3 linked regions of the Tamandua tetradactyla genome follow. The protein of the gene in region 2 interacts with the protein of the main gene of each other region in a pairwise test. Links are inferred from orthologs where the notes say so. Each region holds a gene or a part of one and is shown on either strand. Other genes may lie near its edges. The genes, in order: SORBS2, EFS and SH2D3C.

What was found.
Region 1: the proteins of EFS (region 2) and SORBS2 interact in binary tests that used the Homo sapiens proteins (3 or more experiments, as listed by UniProt). The two-hybrid records come from large-scale screens. The link is inferred for Tamandua tetradactyla from reciprocal best matches to the Homo sapiens genes EFS and SORBS2.
Region 3: the proteins of EFS (region 2) and SH2D3C interact in a two-hybrid assay, tested with the Homo sapiens proteins (2 studies listed by BioGRID and IntAct). The two-hybrid records come from large-scale screens. The link is inferred for Tamandua tetradactyla from reciprocal best matches to the Homo sapiens genes EFS and SH2D3C.

Annotation. Positions count from the first base shown.
Region 1 is NC_135352.1:26,657,210-26,665,207, reverse strand, and holds the start of SORBS2 (sorbin and SH3 domain-containing protein 2), read right to left. Parts: upstream 3,031-7,998; 5' UTR 2,695-3,030; intron 1-2,694. UniProt on the Homo sapiens protein: Adapter protein that plays a role in the assembling of signaling complexes, being a link between ABL kinases and actin cytoskeleton. Can form complex with ABL1 and CBL, thus promoting ubiquitination and degradation of ABL1.
Region 2 is NC_135340.1:31,523,349-31,531,035, forward strand, and holds the start of EFS (embryonal Fyn-associated substrate), read left to right. Parts: upstream 1-4,624; 5' UTR 4,625-5,277; exon of another isoform or gene 5,278-5,502; intron 5,503-5,923; 5' UTR 5,924-6,486; coding exon 6,487-6,504; intron 6,505-7,687. UniProt on the Homo sapiens protein: Docking protein which plays a central coordinating role for tyrosine-kinase-based signaling related to cell adhesion. May serve as an activator of SRC and a downstream effector. Interacts with the SH3 domain of FYN and with CRK, SRC, and YES.
Region 3 is NC_135328.1:50,623,093-50,630,671, forward strand, and holds the start of SH2D3C (SH2 domain-containing protein 3C), read right to left. Parts: upstream 3,019-7,579; 5' UTR 2,908-3,018; coding exon of another isoform or gene 2,871-2,907; intron 2,096-2,870; 5' UTR 2,006-2,095; coding exon 1,936-2,005; intron 833-1,935; coding exon 358-832; intron 1-357. UniProt on the Homo sapiens protein: Acts as an adapter protein that mediates cell signaling pathways involved in cellular functions such as cell adhesion and migration, tissue organization, and the regulation of the immune response.

The sequences.
Region 1 (7,998 bases), on a different chromosome or scaffold from region 2:
ACAGACCTGGACAAAATGTTACTGTTTGTTCTTCACGAGCACCGGGGTATATTTAAGCAAAGAAAGACATTCCAGCACTCTCCTGAGACTTCCTTCCTTCAGCTGAATTATACCAACATGTTCACGCTGCTGTGGTTCAGCTGTGTTGGAATTTAAAATGCAGACTTCTATTTGCCCATGCTTAAATGCCAAGGCTATAAACATTCATATTAGGCTTGAAACTGGCTTTTAGGTAGCATAGAACAAGTGGGAGTGTGTCCAAAAAAAACGTGGGTACGTTAAGTTGCAGTAGAATACTTGCAAAAAGGGACTGCCCTTGTTGGACAGACTCTATGCCTATACAATAAAGTCTCAAAGTCTCCAGAAGTCACCTGGCTTTGGATTAGGTTTCAAATCCGGGCTCACTGACATTCATGAAACTTTTGGCAAACACGGGCCAAGTTTCGGGCAAGGGCGGGCAGAATACTTCTTTCATAGGGAGGCTGTGTGAAACCCGGTGGCTTTCGTTAGGTTTCACCTTGAGTTTCACATTCAAACAATCCAAAGTTTCAAGGTAAAATTAAGGGATGAAAAGAAATGGGGGGGTGGGAGTGGACAGGAAAGAAATGGCCATCTACCATCTTCCAAACCGATTCCACCCTAGTGCCACCTGACTCTGCAACTGAATTTGCATTACCTTTCAGCAACACATGTGCCCCAAGCACTTGCCAGAGGAGGAATTCCCAGTACTACAGTAGGGTGGGGTTGGGGCGCGGGGGAACTCTTGGAGATTCCCAAAGGCTTGGGAACATTAAGAAACATGCTTAAAATAGCTGGAGGATATGAAATGATGACTGCACACAGAAATAGGATGATTCATATGCTCCTTTTAATGTGGATTTGAAGGGGAAAAAGTAGTAATTAAATGGCCAATGTTGGGAATAAACTATTAGCCTGAATAGCTCTAGGTTTTCTTACTCTTAATCGGAATCCTTACAGATGAAGTCGCATCTTCTCCTAATCTGGAGGAGCTCTCCAAGTGTTTTCCATTGCTCTGCCCTTTTGAAAATTGTCCTGCTGCCACTTGCTTCTTTCCTTCCTAGCAAGGCGGTCTCAGCCTTTAGGGAGCCACAGCCCTTGACTAGTGCTTAAAAAGTCTCCTGATGGGATTAAGTTCATTCTATTCCTAACCCTCAACTCAACATGCAGGGACAGTTGGCCAAGGAATATCAACCTTGGTATCTGACTGAGGGCTTTAGAAATACTCTGTGCTTGGGATAGGGAAGAAAAGGCAAAAAACTTAAATGCAGTATATACATGAATTTTCTTTGAAATGAAGAGGACATTTAAACATCGACAGAATGCCTAGATGGTATTACATTTTGCTATTTTAGGAAATACTTTTGTTTTTCCATCCCCTTACCCTCATACAACAGACGTTCCACCAGTTGTATGAGTTTTTCTCTTTAGTTGTCCTTTTTTTAAAATTTAATTTTCTTTTCTCTCTCTTTTCCTTTCTTTTTGTCACCCCAGAGATCGCTGTTTATTTTAAATGCATGTTTTCTTTTGACATGTGGTCTGTGAGACCAACAAATTTTTTCGGAGAGAAAGTCTTTGAATTCCAAGGGTTTCAGTGTTCATGTTAGAATATGCAACAGTTAGGCCTCAAGGCACACAGTAATTTGGGGGTAGCAGAACATTCAAATGAAGGGTTGATAAAATCTCATTCTGTGCACTGTCATTTGCTGCCTGCTTTTAGACATCTGTTTGGTGTGGAGCAGTGAGTTGTTTTAAAGTCTCTTTGGCAAGAGAATCATCTTGCCATAAAACAGTATTTTCCCTTTCATCTGGGGGCAACTATCAGTAAAACTTAAAGTTGTATCAGTAAGCAGTGAGGAAAACCAAAACCCCAACAAATAATTTAAAGGAAATACTATCAAAGCACTAACCTCCTCCCCACTAAATAAAAAGACTTTTTTACTGAACATAGTAAATACCCACAATCAAAGTAAATGCTGTGTTTGAAGTTAAAGTCCACAGATCAAAGTCCTTCGCAAAATGTCAAAGCACAAGTGTAATGAAGGGGAAAGAGGAGGCACAGAAAACGTTGGAAAATGTCATATTGTCACATTAGAGAAACCTGCCTGCGAACCTAACTGGCAAAAGAAATGCAGCTTAGATAAGGAATTCTTAAAACAGAGACACCTAAATTATGCTAGGCATATACCAAACAGAAAGTGCTCTAATTCCAAAATAGCAATTCACACAACAGTGACGATAAAAGAGAACAAAATATAATACAGCTATCTGGTCCTGAGAGAACAATCACTCCTATATTTCCTTTACTCAGGTGGTTGTATGTTTTTATTTTTTCAAATGCCTTTAGAACATTAAAAATCAGTAAGCAGCCTAAACAACAAAACGATGTCTGAAAAGCCCTCTTACTACCCTGGCACTCAGGTGTCATTAGAGTTTTGATCCTTTGCTGGGTCACAGTCACGTCTGCATGGCAGGTCAATATCATGAAAAACTTTAAGCAAAGTTTAGTTACAGCTACAAAAGTCCACAGATGCTGTTCCTATATTCAGGCATACAGTGTTCACCTGGAAATCGATGGCAGCCCCGGGCTTATTTTCAGCCTAAATAAGTTATTTAAAAACATGTGTCACAAATATACCATAAACCAATGAAAGAATTCCAGCATAAAACTCTTACCTACAAGCAGCTGGAGCTGAACAGTTGCTCTCAACAGAGGAAGTAGGAGTCACTGGCCTTTTACATGTAGAGATTGTTTATTTAGCCCTTTTTAAAAGGTCTTGAACTCCAAAGGTTTAAGATTAAGTCCGATCCAAGTGTCTGAAGGGAAAAAAAGGCAAGAGAGAAGGCAAATAAGAGGGGGAGAGAATCCCAGCTGCTGGGTGGTGCTACTGTTCCGAGAGCATTTAAGCTATTTTCAGCATTAACAGCAGCCGGACTTGTCTGTGAAGGGATGAAAATGCGGTGCCGGCCCAATAGCCTCTCCACCCACCCCAACCCCCTGGAGCGGGGAGGTACAAACCAGGAAACCCACAACAACTTGGTTCATTGTGCAAATATTCATTTAAATTTTGAGGAAAAGTGCCAGCACTATTGGGAAAAAAAGAAAAAAAAACTTTACCGGAATCTTAAAGAAACACAGCTCCTTGCCATAATGCCAAGTTTTGCAAAAATGATTTACCTGATTCATGGAAAAGAAGATGCTATAGTTATACCTTATTGAGAGTGAAGACCTTTCTTCTGATATGTATTTGCTTGTTTATATGGGTTTTAAAAACATTTTAAGTCTCTCTGGTTGGAATGGCCATTGTCAGCCTGTTCTTCTTAAGACTGAAGACAAATGGTTTATTTCTAGCACTCAGCTAAATCTCCAGTTTCATCAACTACGCTATTTTTGAAAGCTACTAGGTTAAGCTGTTGACATTTCTTATCGTGCTGGCAGAGGCTGGGGACCACTCTGTGACACGATGCTGACAGAACTGATCTCCAGTCTGCCTCCAAAGGCCAATGAAGAACTAATTTAGATTGGGTCACCAACTCTGGCCAGAAAACTCTGAGCTTTAATTTTGTTTTTAGAATGAAAAAATAAAGATCCAGAAGTTGAATGCATTCATTCATTCATCCAGCAAATATTTATGTGGTGGGCACGGCTGTCCTTATTATAAGCCAGGCATTTTGAAAATACAATAGTGAGCAAACAGCTTTTTTTTTTTTGCCTCTGGAGGTTTACAGCACACAAACACAACAAGAATAAAAAATGAAAAACAGGGTTTCCTTTTTTTTTGACAAACTTTCGCAACCTCATGTTCACAAGATGAGACTATTCAAACCCTTGTACAGGAAGATCCGATGTGTCATCAGAGCGATTCCTACCTTCCATGACTTCATTATGCCTTTGAGAACACCACTAAGAAGGAAAATTAGTTATTTCCTACCAAAGAATCACTTAATATTTTTGATAAAGGCATTTATTCCATGCAGATAAAAATCTCTGAATCATTTCAATTCCCTAATCCTCATAACAAGAGGATGATGTTTAAGGCAGTTCAAAGCATGGCTGAGGAAGTGAAACATTCTCTAATCTAAATCCAATATAAAAACTGCCTTGAAATATTTTATAATCATTATTATGGAGGCTAGTTACTGGATGCTCATATTGACTCTACTTTCTTCCTTGCAATTTCAGAAAGATACTGGAGTTGAATATAGAAAATATTGAGGATTACACATGACATGTAAAAGGGTTACATGACTATTTCAAGTACTGTAGTAAAATAGTGAAATCTTTCAACCCAATACACCTTATATTAAAACCATGCAGCTATTTAAATATATATATATATATAAAACGATAGCGTAACTTTGAAATACCCAATCAAATTTTAAAGTAAATCTGCTTTACCTAAAAAAAAATGCTTATTTTTTAAAAAGTCACTGTAGTATTATGCAATAGTCTGTTCATTTACCTTTCTTTCCTTTTTTTTTTTTTAACATGGGCAGGCACCGGAAATCGAACCCAGCTCTCCAGCATGGCAGGAGACAACTCTGCCTGCTGAGCCACCGTGGCCTGCCCTGTTCACTTGCTTTTAATAGTTGCATTTTAATTTCTTAAATACCTGCCAGTTTAAAATCTGATATTTATTTTACTTGACCACAATGTTAAATGGTAATACTGCTGGCAAAAATTGGAAAAGTCAAGCATCAGATAGAGAAAAAATTGTTTTTATTTTCACCTCCTTAGAATAATTTATAATAAGAAGGAAACACACTTTAAACTTGGCCTTCCTTAAGAAACTAGTTAACTAAACAAAGATTAACTATTTGATTACTAAGTCAACCATTATTTTTAAATTCTTAACTGCCAGCTTCTCACATCATTCCTAAAGGGAAGCCCATTTGCCTCACATTACCTTTTTAAATCATAGTCTGTCAAAGTCTGCACTTGCAAGGACAGGTTATAAGCCTGACATTTGTGTTCACTTAGGAGGAATCCTCTCCTGCCGGGTGACTCACTGAGGTCTCCTTTGTTCCCTTAGGATCCCAGACTGTCCAGGCAGCCTGTAAATAAGCCCCTTTCAACAGATGTCACTGAAGGGTGCAGGTTGGACTTTAGAAAATTAAAGGACACTAAATTTTGACTCTTGCTACTTTCCCAATTCCTGTAACTTCTTATCTTATAAGCTATTGATATCTTAATAATTGTAACTCATGGTAATGATTTTGTTAATATTCTTTTTATTAAAAACAAATAAATTGATTCAAATTAATTAGGAAATGCTGATATACATATTTTAAAATTTTCATTTATTTATTGATTTTTAACTTTTTCTCTCGTATAGTACAATATATATAGAAAGCAAAGAAACAAAAAAGCAACAGTTTTTTTTTTTCAAGGTCAGGAATTGGGAACATTTAATTAACAAAATACCTGCCATCTATTTTCAAAACCCATTCTGTTCTATCAGTCACAAAGCCAAATGGTGCAGAGGGCAGGAAATATATGTAAGATTTGCAATACTGTACCCTGCATTGTCATTGAGCTATATTATACAAAGATCTTCCAGTTTGATTGTGGGAAAACATGCAAAACAAATGAAGACAAAGCACATTTTATACCATTCATCTAGCTTATGTTAAATGACAAGCTGTTTGCACAAATGTCCATCAGATGAGAATATAGGCTGTTGTACTGAAGTAAAATGAGCAATACCTGAATGTTTTGTAGTCTAAACTCCACACATCTCTTCCATATCTGTTGACCAGGCAAACTGCACCAGTTGCTGCTTCAATTTATACCTCAATCTTTACTGTGTCCAGTTGGTATTTTGGCTTATTGGCTAAATTAACCTTCTCTGTCCGAGTGTGCCACACGAGAACCTTGGTGCAGTTATAAAGTAGCAGTTTTCAAAGCACTCCTCAACATGCAGCCACAGGACAGATCCAAGAGTCCACCATGGGCTACCACATGATCCTCCCAAAATGCTGATATTGGAGTGGGTTTCTAATATTACTGACAGATTGGAAATATGGCTTTGGCACAACCCCACCCCCATAGAAGATGGGGATAATAATAAGGTTGCAGTGGGGCTTAAACCATGCATGTAAAATGCCTAGCTGAGTAATGCCTGCCACATACAAGCACTGGATAAATTTGAATTTTTATCACTATTGTAAGTCTAGAACTCTGCTGGCCAATACGTGGCTATCTGTGTGTTGAGCATTTAACAATGTGCCTAGTCAGAACATAGAGGCACGTAAGTGTAATAATACGCACAATGAATTTTGAAGACAGTATGGAAAAGGAAACGTGAATAATCACATTAATTTTTTTTTTTTTTGCATGGGCAGGCTCCGGGAATCGAACCCAGGTCTCCGGCTTGGCAGGCAAGAATTTTGCCACTGAGCCACCATTGCACCGCCCCACATTAATTTTTAAAGATTAACTACCTGTTGAAATAATAATACTTTGGACATTCTGAGTTAAAATATTTTATGAGGAGTAATGTTAAAAAATTTAATACCACTCATTTCTTTTAAATGGCACTACTAGAAGATGTAAATACATGTGTATGGTTTGCGTTACATTTCTTTTGGGCAGCTATGTAAGCCAAAGACTCTGCAACCTTAGTGACATCGGAGTGACCTGGAGGTCTGTAGAAGCACAGGTTGCTGGGTCCCACCTCCTGGGTTTCTGATTCAGTAGGTCTGGAGACTTGAGTGGCTTGAAAATGTGCATTTCTAGCAAGTTCCCAGGAGATGCTTGAGCACACTTGGAGAACCATTAGTCTTAAGCCTTGTTGCTTAAGGCTTAAGTGTTTCACAGAGCAACATTAATGGCACCTGGGGTCCTGTTAGAAATGCAGAATCCTGAGGCCCCACCTGGACCTAATGAATCAGTAGCTGCATTTTAACAAGACTCCCAGGCTATGCGTCTGCACATGACAATTTTGGAGAAACGGAAACCAGCATCTTTCAACTCTGGTACGTAAGAGAATCATCTGGAGAACAAAAAAGACCAGTACGTTGGGCCTACCCATGGAGATTTTGATTTAATAGATCTGGAGGAGATCCAAGCATTTGCATATTTAAAAGTTTCCCCAGGTGATTCTAAGATAAAAGCAAGAGCTGACAGTTTGATGGCAGTGAGGCAGAACCGATACAGAAGAAACAGGGTCTGGAAACCAGACACACTCCTTCTAGTGAGGGTCAGACGCTTGGGGTTTGTCAGGTGCTGGGAGGGCAGGACAGGTGCCGGCGGTGGAGATGGTGGAAACCCGCAAGGGGCGATGAATGGGCATTGTAGCCAGCAGGACGTGCGTGGTAGCAGACACTAAAGGTCGTTTGAGGTCTGCCAGTAGGTCCCCAGCTGCTCCAGGTCTGGAGTTTCAGGGAAGGTTGGCTAAAGCAGAGCATAGTCTTGGCACCAGAGGATCCAGAACGTTAGGTAAATTATCTGAGCAGAGACACAGGTTCCAAGGAATCAGACAGAGTCTGGTCCAAGTTAACGGTGAGACCAGCCACCATGTTAACTTCGTCCTAAATTTCCTGAGTTTCTTAAGCTTTCCATAAGAACCATCTAGAGCAGGGATGATCCTTCAGACAGAGATGAAGAAGGAAAAGATGGATGGAAATGTTGAAAGCCAGTTTAGTTGTACACTTCTCTTCTTCAGTTGTACACAACAACAACTGAAACTGTTTTGAGCTAAGCATTGGTCTAATTAAAATATGGTTAAAAAAGACCTTAACCCTCTGGTATTTTCATCACACGAGAAGATCTTCTTGATCCAAATAACAAGGTGGTTGGCTCATGGACGTCCTGTATTGTCAAGGCAAGAGACCTTCTGTTATTTTCCATTATGCATTAGTCCCACCCTAAATAAGTGAGCTCACCAGCTTTGTTTAGTAGCTCCTCTGCATAACCTTGTTAATTTGCCACTTGACTCCTCAGTTTTTTAGGCGGCATCACCAGTGTATGGGCTCCAG
Region 2 (7,687 bases):
TGATGGCTGGGAGAGCAGGGGCACTTAGGAAGAGCAGTGAGACCAGGAATATCAACAGCCTGCTCCCTTTGCCCCATCCCCTGTCCCCTGGGCTCCCAGTTATCCTCTCTTTGCCATGAACTGCTGGCCTCGGCTCTCATACACCTCCAAGTGCCAGGAGTGCCAAGCCCTGTACATGGATCATCTCATTAATCCTTACAATAAAGCCATGAGAAGGAAACTGTTAGCCCCATAGTGCAAATGAGGAAGCCGAGACCCAAAGAAATTCAGAAACCTCCCCAAGTTCACACAGTTAGGAAAAGACAGGGATGGTTTTTAGTTCCAGCCCTAATCAATCCCAAGTATAAGCTCCTGGCTTGGGAATGTCACACTGTGCTGCCCCATGGTTGGCTATGAATGGAAGGGGAGCCCCTGCAGCAAATGCTTTGCTACTCATCTGAACCTGCCCGAGGCCATCGGGCATTCCTGCCCCCTTAGGCGTTCAATCCTGGAAGCTGGGATTCCCTTCTCCAGCTTCCCGCTCCCCAGTGTCTGAGGTACGGTCCCCAGGGTGGCTTCTGGTATTCCTGAGCAGCCACCAACGCCAGAACAGACCTTAGGGGGCAGTGCTATTTCAGAAGAGCAGGAACCCAAACCAATCGGAAGCAGAATTGGAGCCTGACCTTGACCCAGATCTCCCAGTCTTGGCCTCCAGCTAGGAGAGGGTGCTCGAAAGAGCTGGAAGTGATCCTGGCTACTTATTTCACTTGCTGACAGTGCTAAAAGGACACAGACTGGGTTGCTGGGGACACTGCCCTTCAGAAGTAGCCTCTGGAGTGTCCCCCACCTCTGTACCAGGCCCTTCTTGAAGACCAGGCATGACCCCAGAACCTGTGCTCTGGGCCACATGTCCCTACCTCACCCCATTTGCTCAGCCTCTGCCCTTATCTCGATAGCAGCTTTGTGGGAAACCTGCCATGAGAAACATTTTCCAGAGGGTTTTCCTCCTGGGGTGACTGGTTTTGGAATTCCTGAGTCACTTCAAATTCCAGGGAATGCTTGGGGACGTAGGAGACAAAAGTGGCAGCGAGTAGAATGCTGGAGGCAGGTGCAAAGCAAAGTGTGCCAGCGTCTGACATCAAGGGTCCCCTCCCAGCATGTCCCCACCTACCTGGAACTGACTTGGCAGCAGAGAGGGCTTGCTAGTATTCCCAGCTCCACCGCCCTGAGGAAAGAGATCAGTGCCTAGCAGGAAAGGGCAGGGAGGACATGATGGAATATACCTCCCACCCTTGGCCTGGAAAAGGCTCTTGGAAATAATAGCCTTGCCCCTTCCCCAAAGGACACGCAATTCCTCATCTGCTGCCTTGATGCCCTGACTCTGCCTCTGACCAGCTCTTGGTGTTGGGCCCCATCTGGTCCTTCTTCTTCATCTGTAAAAGCATCGGGGGATGGGGGTGGAGGGTGGTTAGGGGAGAGGAGTGACCAGAAGGGCACAAAGGAGCCAACCAGCTGAGCTGCTGTGGACCTCAGCTCCTGAAATAATGCTGAAAGCCACAAGACTCAGCAGGCTCTATTGAGGCCCGTCTGTACCCATCTTATGTGAAACTTGGCACTGATTGCTAAAATGTTGAAATACTTTTGCACCTGTTGGTAAAAAGATGCTGGCCTCAGCCTCCTGGGACATCTCCTTGCCAAAACCTCCCTGTGATGCAATAACTAAAAGGTGAGCAACTGGTACAGCTTGCTCCTTGAACCTCATCCTGTTTGGTATGTGATCATGGTACTGGTTGCTAAATATTTTGAATGTCACCTTTGGCACCAAAGATGCTTAGGTTCAGGAACCTGCCTTCAAGGAGAACCCAGTTTGGCCTGGGAGATGACACAGATGGTCAGAGTGAACAGCACAAAGAGCCTGGCAATACCCTCTCCCCAGGCCAGGGCTGGTGCCTCACCAAGGAGGGCCCTGGGCTTACTCAGCTTTGCCCTACAGCCATGGCTGTTTTGTTCTTTAATCCATTCACCAAATATCTATGGAGTACTACTGCATGCCAGGCACTTTTCTAAATTCTAGGAATGCAGAGGAGGACAAGTCAGAGAAGGTCCCTGTCTTGTGTGGTTTTTGTTTTAGGAGGAGACAGATGATAAACAAGGAAACGAGATAATTTCTGGTAGTGGTAAGTGTTGAAATGGTGTTATGAGATAAAGGGTTACTGCAGTGGAAGTGCGGGAGGGGACAACTTTAACCTGGAAAGCCAGGGAAGACCTTTCTGAGGATATCAAGTTTGACATGATGATGGAAAGGGTCTGGGGAAAGAGTGTTCTAGGCAGAAGGAGCAGGATATGCATTCCTAGAGGTGATAAAGAGTTCAGTGTATTTGAGAACCAGAAAGGACAGTGTGGATGGAAAGTCAAGGGTAAGGGGGAGAATGGGATAGATGTGGTGGGAAGAGAGGGCAAGGACCAGATCACACAGGATCTTACAGGCTCTGGTGGAACATCTAGAGTCTATTCCAAGGTCACTGGAAAGGTATTGACTGAATTCAAGTATGACCTACATGACTTGAACTTCTCAAGGACAGGCAGCGTGTCCTTGACATTCTGTTACCCACACAGGGCTGGCATTAAATGATCATAATAGCTGCTTTTATCCAACACTTACATATCATAAGCCATGTACTATTCTCAGCGTTCAATACTAACTCCTAGTGCTCACAACAAGCTGATGTGATAAGTTCCATTATTATCCCCATTTTCCAGACACAATCCTGAAAGCTCCACATAACTTGCCAAGGTTACACAGTCAGAGTCGGAACCAGGATTAGAACCCAGGCAATCCAGGTGTTGTGGGGATCCAAAGAGAGAAGGACTGAAGAGGTTGGGAAAGAATTCCTGAGCACCGGAGAAGGTTTGGGTAGCAAGAGGAACAAAATCAGGTCCAGGAAGTCATGGGTGGGAGGTGAGAAAGAGACCAGTTAGTCAGACTTGACTGGGAAAGAGAATGAATGGAAGAGAAGACTGTGTCCCAGAAAGTCGGATGGAGGGGTTCCTTCCTTCCTAACCCATGCACGTGCCAAGGGCAGACCCCAAATCTGAAGGCCCAGCTGCCTGAGGCTGCAGCCCATCTACGGACTTAGCTACTCACCCAGCCTGGGTTTTCTCCAGTCATACCTAGAGTCCAGAGTTTTTTCTAAACGAGCTATTATCACCTTAACTTCTGCTTGTGAAGGAGAGGGCAGAGATGAGGCATGAAGGAGGGAAAAGGCTCCACCTGTCCTCACAAGGAAACACATTTTCAGCTACTATATAAGCACAAGTTAGAGGGGGGACCAAGGAGAAGAGGCAGAGACATGGAAGGAAATCACCGTGCTAGGCATTCTAGATATATTTTACTCCTTACCAGAGTCATTGCTACAGAGGGGGACTGTGTTGTTCTGTGACTTGATCGAGGTCACATAGCTTAGAAACTGGGATTCATATCCACGTCTGACTGTGGATATGAATCTGGCTCCATTCTGTGCCCAGGGGCTCGAGAAGTACAGTCTAATTTTCCTCCTGGTTTGTCCTCTGAGGATTCTCATCGATATTTCCCCAGGCACTGGGCTACATCACTGCCCATCTCCCAAGCCTCCAGTCTTGCCTGGTCCTAGCAGCTTCTCTCCCGCTTAGCCTTTCCTGGCTTCCATTTATTTCTCCTATTCCAGTCGGTGTGTTCGTCTTTGGGACCAGGCTTTCTTGCCCACCTGACCTTCGGGCCCAGTTTGCCTTGGCAGTCTCATGGGTAGGGACCACACCTAGTCCCTCTCCAGCAGAGGAATGTTCCAGGCAGCCCACTCCCCCTGGCACTAGCTCTGGAGGAGGTTGAAGAGCCTTCCCTTCCCTGTTGGCCACATCAGATCAGGGTGGTGCTGGGATGGGGGAGTGCTCCCTTCAAGGTGTAACTGGAAATTTAAAAGTTCTTATATCATCTTAAAAGAGTCTGGGTCTGTCCAGGATTCCCAGCCCCATACCCAGGTCTGCACCCCAACTCTAAGCCAAGCATAGACCTAACATCATCCATCCCCACGCTCACCCCAGAATCTGGTCCTCACAGGTGCCCAGGCAATAGGGTGGGGAAGGAGCTGAAGCAGGTATCTCCCCACCTCCTGGGAAATGCCTCCATGTATGGGCCTGTGAAACAGGTGGTGTGAGGGAAATATTCGTCCAAGACCTCAAGTTCACAAGAAGCCTTAAATTTACATTTCTGCTGTCATCTCCAAATGAGGTCATTCAGAGTCATTGTCCATTTTATGTGTTTTGCAGCGTTAATTTGTTAAATGTAAACACTGAAAATACACTATAGCTTTTAAACCTGTTTAGCATCTCCTTTTTCCAATACCAGGGGAGGAAAACTGGAAGCAGCAGTTTCCCTGAAGCCTCTGGGAGGTCTTCCTCTACCCAGGAGGAAGAACCCCAGAGGGAAGCGGCTGGCGGGAGGCAGGGCACATTGAGGAGTAACAGAGGGGAAGAAGGTGTGGGGGTTAAAAGAGCCGCGTCCTTTCAGCTGAAACTCCTGGAAGGCCAACTCCCAGCCCCTCTGAAAGAGTTCTGCCCTTCTTTGCCGACGGTCCCCACTCCCGCTCCTGGCGGCCCGGCGGAAGGAGGCAGGCCCAGACTGGCAGGGCTGCTTAAGAGGCTGCACAACCGGCCCGCCTGCCGCTCTGGGGCTCAGGCTTCTTCTCCTCTGGCCAGGGCCAGAATCCATGTCCAGCCTTAGACTCCCGGTGTGTTCCCCGCAGAAACGGCCGGAATAACCCTGCCACCCAGACAGAAGCAGCACCAAGGGAGGGGAGAGGCTCCGCTGAGGATCCCAGCAAGGCGGAAGGCGGGCGCTCTCCCTCCCTCGGGGAAAGACAGATGTGGGGCTAATGAAAGGGAGGCAGAGAGACGCGCGGGGCTGGCGGGGGAAGGCGGGGGCGTGGCGGGGAGAAAATAGCTTCTCGGAAGAAGCTGACCAGACCACCCGGAGGTCCGCGGCGAAGTCGGATGGAAGGAGGCACAGAGCAGAGGGGCCGGGAGGGGGCGTGCAGTTTGGCCCCAAGGTCCCGGGCTGAAACTCAACACCCGCCTTTGAAGGGATAGTCCTTTCTCCTCCGCCCCCTCCCTCCTCCTCCCTTTTCCCCTCCCTCCTTTCTCTTAATCCCCAGGACTGAGCCCAGCGCCGGAGGAGAAGGCCCGAGGGGAGGAGGAAGGACCGCTCGGAGAGGGAACCGGGAGCCCGGGGAGGGGAGGAAAGGGGAGCCGCGAGTGGGGTGGAGGGTGAGCCTGGGGACCACGCGCGACCCTCGGAGTCCTCCCACATCGCCTGCTTCGGGTTGGGGCCCTCTCAGTGAACCCACCCTCAGGGAGCCCACAGGACCCTGGCTCCTGCCTGTCCTTCGCTTTATCTTTGCGGCTTCTTTTGCTTTGTGGCCTTTCTCTTCATCCCTAAAGACACCTGGGGGCGGCCCCGCGCTCTGGGCGCGCCGAGGGGCTCTCCCAAAGGTGCGTGTGAGCGGGGCCGGCGGGCCGGCGGGCCGACGGTGGGAGCGCGAGCGCGTGGCCGTGCGCACTGGAGCCGAGGGGAGGAGGGGGCGCGGGCTTCTCTGCTGCCAGGACAGTAGGGTTGGTGAGGCCGAGCGGCCTCCGCGAGCCGTGCCTGCAAGCCGATTTCGGCAGGCCCCGCAGCCCCAGGCCAGGCGCCGTCGCGGCGTCCCCAAGGCCCTCGGACGTGCTGAGGGTGACAGTGCGTGCGTGAATGCGCCTCACTTCTGGGGGTGCGAGGGTCGGGGCCGACAGCAGCAACCCGGCCCAAGGGTCACGCTCTCGGAGGCCTTTGGCGTCAGCCCGGCCACTTTTCGCCAACTTGGGCAAATTTGAAGAAGGCCAAACAACTCAGCTCTCGCTTTCTCTCCTTCCCCTCCAGCCGCCCCGGCCACAGCCCTGGGAACACGGCTCTCCGGCGCGGCCCCCGGGTGGAGAGGGTTGGCGCCTAAACTTGCTCGCCCGGCCCAACCGCCCCGGCGGCCTCTCCCAGCCCTCGGGGCGGCCCCGAGCGGCCTGGGGAAGCGTCGAGCGCAGCTCCAGCACCCGCCTCCTCGCCTGCCCCGACTGTGGAAAGCAGCTATCGGTTCATGCGGGCCCCGGGGGCCTCCGCGGCCTAGGGCAGGCAGCTCCGGGGGCCCTGCCAACCCGGCGGCCCCCGGGAGGCCGCGGCGACCGTGCAGAGTGCTCGTCCTTGGATGAGGGCCCGTAGCGACGCCCCGGCCGGACCCGCTCCTCCTCCTGCCGGGCCAGACTGCCTCCCATTTGGGGAGTTTTGTGGGTTTTCTTTCTCCTCCTCCCACCTCGGCGGAGGCCACGACTCAGGCGCCGCATTCGGGACCCGCCTCCTCGCCTGGAGGCCGTGGACCATGGAGCCCGGCCGCGGCTGCTGAAGTCAGCGAAACCGAGCTTGGTCTGAAGCAGGAGGCGCGGGAGTTCGAGGCCATGGCCATAGCCACGTCGGTGAGTCCACCAGGGAAAAGAGGCTGTCGGGCAGGGCCTCCAGAGCCTCCTGTCACTTTTATTTCAGCCCTCCCTTTGTCTTTCTCTTTGGTCCCTTTCTTCTCAGAGAAGCTGTGTTCCCCTCCTCTCACTTTTGTTCCCCTCTCCCTCTACTTTTCATCCCCTGCTTCTCTCTCTGGCTCTGGGGCTGCCCCTCCTCCTCTTCTCCCTCTCCCCATTCTCTCTCTTTTTTTTTCCCCTAGAGGTTGCTTCGGGAGCGAGGGGCGGGGGCAAGAGTGACCAGAGTCCTGTCTGCTCTTTTTAGGGCGGGAACAGATGGCCACTTGTGGTTGTCAAGGGCTTGTGATTGGGACGCTAGTAAAAGGTTGGGAGGGGATGAGGTGGCTCAACGCAAACAGGAGAAACCAAAAGATCCAAGGCATCTCTTCTCTAGAGGAGGGGTGGAGTAAAGGGAGAAAGTAGAAAAAGAATGAGAAAGAGAAAATAGAGGGAGGGGGAGGTGATGTCAGCCAGCCTTAGGGCACTTTCCGGGGACTAGGGACAAAGGGAGGAGACAGCTGGCAAGATGGGAGAGTGGGAGGAAACCTTCCAGAGAGCACATGGCCCACTGCCACCTCCATTAAGCCAGCAATTCCCCCACCCGTCAGCTGGGCTCTTGAAGAGGGGATAGAGCAGGGTGGACCCCACCCATCATCAGTCAGTCTATCAGCAACTCTGGCCTGGGTTCCTGCAATCCCAAAGCCCAGAGGCTTGGCCCCATTGGACAGAATTCAAACCCAGCACGGGGAGGAGCACTCCACGAGCCCCACCTCTACTTTCTGCCCTTCACACTATGCAGCCTTAATCCAGGCAATTCTGTCCCCTCTCCACCCTTTCCTAGGCCCTGGGAAAGTGAGACTGCCACCATTTTTCTGGCCCTCTCTGCATAGGGACTCTGGGAAAGATTGTGAAACTGGAAAGAGAAGCATAGAATTATCATTCTTTGTAGTCCCCAAAAAACTTCCGTTTTTTTCCTTTTACCCCCGGGGTGGGTGAGGAGGGTTCATATGCTAATCAAATTCAAACTCACAGAACCCTAATGATCCTAAAATAGCTAATATGTATTGAGCTACAGCTGGTACTATGCTAAGCTTTGTCATGGGTTTTTCATACATTACCTCATCCAGTGCTTACAACTCTGTGA
Region 3 (7,579 bases), on a different chromosome or scaffold from region 2:
CCAAAGAGCAACTAAGGACCCAGGCTGGGGGCCGTCTAGGGCTTTGGGGTCAGGTGGGCTTCAGTTCAAATGCTACCTGGGCTTCAGTTCAAGTGCAGCCTGGGACAGATGACTTTCCTTTCTGGAGTCTCAGTTTCCTCATCTCGCTATGGAGATAATAATAGTATTACCTCACTGAGATTTTTGAGAATTAATTGCAAGTGAAAGATTTAGCACAGCAGCTGGTCCATGGTAAGCATTTGGGTAGTGTGCAGGATTGTGGGTGGGAAGGGGGCCCTCCCTGGGGCTATACTGGCAGGAGGCTGGAGTTACTGTTTCAGCAGGTGCTGCACTCACCTGCCCTTGGTAGACACCTACCTCTCTGGGGGCATATCCTTGGGAGGTCTCTCTTCTTCCAAGTCTGCCCTGGGGACCTCAGGCTTTCTTATGGGGTCCACCTCCACAGCTGAAGGGTTGGACCCCGCTGCTGGGGTGTCCTTCAGGGGGGCGTTGGCCTCTACCACCTCCTTGGTTGCTTCCAAGCCTGGGGGATCAGGCAGGCGTCGGGGCACTACATGGGACTCAGGGTCCATCTCCTGAGCCTCCTGGCTGGCCTGTCGGTCCCGAGCCCTCTTGGTGCTGGAGCGGGGCATGGTGCCCATGTGGCTGTACATGTCGCTGGAGCGGGCATAGGCTGGGGGGCTCTTGGGGACTGTCACCATGTCATCCTGCGTGGCCTCGAAGGTGTCAGGCTCCAGACGGGACCGGATGCTGACAGGGGCTGAGGACCGTCGCAGAGTGAAGGTCCGAGGGAGGTTGGAGAGACTCCCGAGGCCCTTGAACTTGAAGAACTCTGGTGGGGTGGGGGGTGGGGGAGAATGGAGTGAATGCCAACAGCAATAATAATTTTAAAAATACCTGCAGTTCCACTCACTAAAGGCCCAAGGAGAGTTGGGGGCTTCATAACACCCTCTCCAATTGTTATCACACTCCCAGAAAGTGATAAAACATGGTGGCTTTGTGGTCACAAAGCCCCCTGGGCTGGAGGCCCTGCTCTACCACATCCTAGCTGTGTGATCTAGGCAAGTCACTTGACCTCTCTGAGCTACATTCTCCAGCTCAGTAAAACAGGAATTATAGTACCTATCTTCTACAGGCAGTGAGGGGATTGAAGGAAAGTATGTAAATAATATGCTTAGCAGGATGCCTGGCATGCAAAATAGCCTTAATAAGAAGTAGCAAAGTATCAACTTGTGATGATGATGATGGTGCTAATTATTATGAATATTATGATGAATGCCTCTACATTTGTCAAGTATGCTGCAAGCTTTATCCCATTGAATTCTCAGCACAACTCAATGACAAACACAAGTTCAATTCCCCATTTTTCAGATGAGGAGACAAGTTCAGAGCACTGAAATTAACTTCCCGAAGTCAGACAGCTGGTATGGGGTGGGGATGGGGATTGAGCCATCCTTCATGTACCTGGGGTGGGGATGAAATGAGAAGGAGGTGTCAGGAACCTGAGGGTCTCACTGTCTGTGGTTTTCTCCTTCCTGTCAGCTGAGCCCACATTCCTGACTCAGGCTGCAGTGCTCGGGTGATACCATCTCCTCACTTCCGCAGGGGTGTGTGTGTGAGTTCCTTTCTCCCTGCCCCCAACTACTGGACTGTCCCTTCTGGCAGCCACCACCATCAGACTACTCTATCACCCACATGAACGAGGAGGAAAACCCTGGCGTTTTCTACTTCCTCAGAATCCTTTGCCTCCTCATGTCCTCACAACCATCTTGAGATATAGGTAGGATGCCCCCAGGAAACTGAGGCCCAGAGACCGAAAGGGACTTGCTCAGGGTCACACAGCAAGGCATTGGCTGAGCCTACACTAGAAGCCAGGGTTCTGGACTCCTGGGCTAGTGCTCCCGGGCTTCCCTCACTGCCCTGCCAGCCACCTACCTGGTCTTAGCCTCTGCCTCTTGAGAAATGCTGTTAGGAGATTCTGACGCCCTGCGCTCAGCTGTACCATGGGGCAGAAATTGTGCCAATGGCCAGGAGAAGGACCATCAACCGCCTCTTCCCTCAGCACCACTTGCTTTGTCTCTTGGCCACTAAGTTTCTGGGGACAATAGTCGGGACAGGAAGTGAAACTAAGTCTCAGGGTCCAGGGTCCAGGATTCAGTCTGCTCTATGGTCCTGTATGATCTTGGGCTAGTCTAGGGTCCTCTTTGGGCCTCATTACTCCCATCTGTGGAACGGAGCCATAGCCCTTGCCCTGTACACCGCTTCTCCACCTCCCGCCCTGATGCTGTCAGATCATAGGAATCAGAGGCGTGACTGCACAATGGGACCAACCTAGAGAAGCAGGGGAAGCAGGTCTGGCCCCTCGCCCAGGAGCCTGGTTCTAGTAGCTGTGGGCTCTTACCCTGCCAGAGTGCTGGGCTCCAGCCTTACTGCTGCTGGGAGCATGGGGCAGCATCCCATGATACACCCCCACCCAGTAACTGCAGTCCTGAGATCCCACACAGACCCAGGCCTAGGGGAGGGGCATGGGGGTCTCCCCTCGCCCAGTCATGAGGTCAGAAAGCCAGAGACAGACAGAGATACAGACAAATAGGGGGACAGAGCAGCAGGGTGATGTGAAACAGAGAAACAGAGATGGACAAAGGGAGAAGCACAGAGATGGGGAGCCAATTGGCTGGGGGCAGAAAGAGAGAGAGGTGCTGGGTGACACAGGGACTCAGAAGCAGAGACCTCTGGAGAGAGACAGGGGTGCATGAAGAAAGAGAAACAAAAACAAGACAGTGAGCAAAAAAAAAAAAACAGCAGAGACAGAGACGGAGATGGACAGACAGAGAGATGGAAGGCAGCCCGAGCGGCAACCCCACACTCACTGAACTTTCTGCTGGCTTTCTTGGGCCCCTCCGTCATCTTGGTGAGCGGTACAGAATCCCCAGCCAGCCGGTGAGTGGCCACTCCAGGCTCTGTACATTAATATTGAAGTGCCTCCCTACCTCCCCTTCCCCTTTCTCGAGTCCTCTCACTCGCTTCCTCTGTGTATTTTTAAACCAGTGAAACTCCCACAGCCCCACCCTCCCCACCCTCTCCACAAGGGGCGGGGGCGGCGGCCTCCCCCAGTCCTGGCCCCTGTGGGCTGCCTCTTGGCCTCATAGTGGGGGCAGGGGGGAGAGTACAAACCCATGGGACCTGGAAGGTCTGGGGAACAAAACCACAGGCTCTGGGAACAGAGCCCAGTGGGCCCAGGGCCGCTGGGGGTGGGGGTGGGGGGCTTCCAACAGCTGTCAGGGGGTCTGGTGGTGGTATGAGGGCACGGGGGAGTCAGGTCTGGGTGTCCACTTCAGTGCCTCAGGGATGTACTGTACCCAGTAGGTAGGAGAGTGCTGTAGTTAGGCCTGTGAGCTCTGGGACCGCTAAGACCCAAGTTCCACTCTTGGCTGGCCACAGTGTGTGATCTGGTACTGGGAACTTACCTCCCGGGGGACTCAGGTTCCTCTCTGTAAGGGGCAGGGGGGGGGGCTTGTAGTGCCCCTCAAAGGTCCAGTGCTCGGTGCAGAGCCTGGCACAGAATTGATGCCCAACAAGGTATGGTTACTTGTTTTCAAGCTAGCAAGGACATTGTGAATATTGCTTCACAATGCCCATTATACAGAGATGGAGAAACAGAGACACAGGCAGGCGGAGGGATTGCCTGGCCTGGCACAGGTTGGGTTATAACTCATCCTTCCAGGTCCCTTAACTCAGAGCCTGGTGCTTTTCACACCCTACAACCTTCTGTTGTGTATATGGGCAGGCTCACGTGGGCAGGGCAGAGATAAGGAAATGCATCCTCCCCTTCCACAGGTTGTTCCTGAGACCTGCAGAGATGATCAGTAGCTGCCAGGGTTTGCGGGCAGCAAGACCAGGGGCTTCAAAGCTCAGCTCTGTGTGCTGCTGACAAGTTATTTCTGCCTCTCAAGCCTTGGTCACCAAATGTCTAGAATGGGGACAAATGCATGGCATGCAGTGAACCCACAGAGGCGCCGGCGTTGTTTTACATTATTACGCCGGCACCCAGGCTGGCAACTGGAACTGTGAGAGGAGGAGGGAATCTGAGGTCAGAGGGGACTGATTCCCCCATCCTTCATAAACATAATGACAACTCATGTCTCATCACTTACTACAATCCGGTCACCGGGCTCAGTTCTTCTGCCCTAAGAGGTGTATGTTATTGCTATTGTCCCCATTCTGCAGATGTGGAAACTTAAGCCCTGAAAAATCACGTCACTTGTCCACACTCCCACAGCCCCTGAGTGGTGAGGCTGTAGCGCTCCTAGCTGCCACGTCCATGGTCGCCCCCGCCCCCACCCGCAGTTGGACGACTGGCTTTGGTGGGAGGAGGGGCTGGCTGAATCTTCTTGATGGTGTGAATGGGAACCCGAGGCCCTGAGAGGGAAAGGGATGCAGCCCCAGAGACCAAGGCAGCAGGGTCCTGGTCAACTGACTAGCTGTCAAGGTCCACTGGAAAGGACAGGGTTTCTGGGCCATGGGTTTGGGAGAAGAGTGGTGCAACCCCAGCTGCTTCTGCTGAGTGCTGAGTATGCCAGGTACGTGGTTGGAAGCCTCCATAATCATCCATTTAAATCCACACAACAGGCTTGTGAAGTAGACCCTGGCATCTGCCTCCCGGTACAGACACTCAGGCCAATGCCCCTCCCATATCTGGGTGGTTGTTCAGAAGGTCCAGTAGCCTGACCAGAGCCGAGGGTCTTCCTAGCAGAAGATAAAAGGTAAAATCTCTCAGCTACTCTTCCCAGAGGCAACTCTAGCGTAACTTGGAGTAACTGTCGGAGCTGTACCATCAACCAGTCTGGCTTGCTGTGTGATCCTGCACAGGAGACTTTACCTCTCTGGCTCTCAGTTTCCTCATCTGTGAAATGGGGCCTCTATAGGGCCCATCTCCTGGGGTTCTTAGGAGCATTCAAGGCCAGCATGCCACAGGCCTTGGCAAGGACTGGCTGTTGTTGCTGAGGGATGCGAGAATTCCGACAAGGGACTGGCTGGCATAGGCCAGGAAAACCCTGGCAGCAGATGCATGGTGTGAGACCCAGGAGTCCTGGCCACTGGGAGGCTGTGGGGCTGGCTGGGGCTCGTTGCTGTGGCAGAGGCGCCTTGTCAGTGCTGGGTCTGGGCCTGCCGTTGGCCCAGGCACCAGGGCAGTGGCCGACATCTCTAGGAGGATGAATGGGGCTCAGTGTGGCAGCTCTGCCGAGCTCAGACCCCTCTTTGTACTGCCTTGAGTGGCCGTTGGGAGCACGGCTGGGGACCTGCTGGCGGGTGGTTGTCCCACAGGCTCTTCTCAGCCTGTGCTGGAGGCCAGCCCGGCCCAGCCCACACTCTGCAGCTTTCCCGCCTGCAGGCTTTTGCTTAGGCTGGAAGCCCCACCCGAATGCTGCTCTTGTTGCCACTGGTTCAATCTTTTGCCTCCTTCCAGTACCTCTAAGGCCATCTTTAGCTACAGTGCCCCCAAGAACCTGCTCTGGTTCCTGTCCCTCACTCCTGCCACCTCTTCCCCAGTCTATGACCCAATAGCCTGTAGCTTGGCCAGGGACAATTAGGGATTGGAGGCCTTAAATGTTATAATCAAAGGTACTGGACTGAGGCAAACCTAAGTTCAGTCCCCACCTTGGTGACCTTGGGCAAGTTATGTCACCGTTCTGAGCCACTTTTTCCCATCATTAAAATGGAGCAAATATGATGTTTCTCGTATGACCGTGAAATAAAACATTTATACCAAGATCATCATCCTTATTACATCCACGTGTGTCTTTATTTGCATGTTCCAAACAGACCTTAAGCTCCCTGAGAGAGGAATGGGTCTTACCCATACTTATTGGCCCCATGCCTGCTAAACTGTAGGTGCTCAATAGATGCTTTTCCCTGGGTTGACCCCATTGACTGGTAATGGGGGCAATGTAGGATGATGGTTAATCACTCTAGGCTTTGAGAGAAAAGACATCTGGCTTTGGATTCCAGCTCAATTGCTTCCTAGCTGTGTGTCCTTGGGCAGGTCATTTCACATCTCTGAGCCTGTTTCTTCTTATATAACCTGGCCTTGATTATCATACCTCCTAAGAGGGGTGCTATAAAGTTTCAGGAGGGTGATGCCTGTCAATACAGGGCCAGGCAGAGTTAGTTCCCAGCCAGTAAGGGCAAAACTTCCATGGTTTGACAAGACCGTGGGCATCACACAGATGTTTTCTCTCCTCTATCCCCCTCCCCAGAGATCCTTTGTCTTTCTGGATGTGCCAGATGCAAAGAGCAACCTACCCAAAGAATCTGTCTTCTCCTTCCCCTCCACATGCCCATTACCCATCCCTGCTCAGGGGTGGGAAAAGGGTTCAGGCTAGGGTCAAACAGCTGAGCAGTGACTCTCTTCCTGCTTAATGTGTCAGTTTCCCTAACTATAAAATGGGTAGCAGGACCAGAGTTCCCAGGGCCTGATCAGACAGTCACTCAGCAGACATTTACTGACTACCAGTCACGTGCCCCACTTTGCCTGCTTAGTGAATACCTGGGATACAGGAAACACTTTCCTCAGACCAGCAAAATTGAAATCAAAGTCTAGAAATTGTTTCTTGCTAATTTCTTCTCACCTTCACTTGGGTTTTGGCAGCTCTGGTGATGTCTGGCCCCAAGCCCGGGCAGCCTTCTGAAGGGCTCCCAATGCCCTGCCTGCCTTCCTTCTCCAGGCAGGGCCCACAGCCTGAGGGAAGTGACTGGCAGATGTGAAAGTTCAGGTCACAGATGGTGGAGTAGAGGTGACAACACCACCGGAACCTCTGCTGAGGCTTCTGCCCACAGGATGTGACTTATGGGATTGCTCGTGTGAAAGAGACAGCAGGTCCCAGCCTGAGGGCCTGATGGTGGAGGCCACATAGACCCATGACAGACCTCATAGTATTGCTACTATGTCCTCACACACCTCCCATCCAGCATCCAGTCCACATCCCTAGTTCTGCCCCCAGCCCAGAAGGGCAGACCATGACATGGGCAAGAGCTTGGCTTTATGCCAACCTGGCTCAAATGCCAGCTAGGCCACTGGCCAGCTATTTGACCCTGGCCAGGTGACATCACCTCTGAGTCTCAGTGTCCTTATGTGTACACCAGGCTGGATAATAGTAGGTACCTCATAAGATTCAGGGAGAATTGAGATAATTCCCTTAAGTATAGGGCTTAGCACATTTATTTTTCCTCAATAAATGGTAATTACTATAACTATTATCTTCCTCTCTGCCCTCTTGCACCTGATTTGGCCAAGGGTCTCCCTGCTTCTAACAGTGTGCCCAAGAAGCTGACCCCAGCTCACTTCTTATCAAAAATTCTCACCAGCTCCACGTTACCCTCAGGAGAGGACACCCGGCTCCTCAGCCTGACTCTCAAGGCTCTCCCTGGCAGGGATCTGCGCAGAACAGGCCTCTTGGGACACCACGATCACCAAACCCGTTCCTGCCTTTTCTCATGAGAAGGCCTCAAGGCCAGGCAGTGAGGGGTAAAACCTATGAAGCCGCCCTGCAGGCCTCCTGTAGGCAGAAAGGTTACTTTT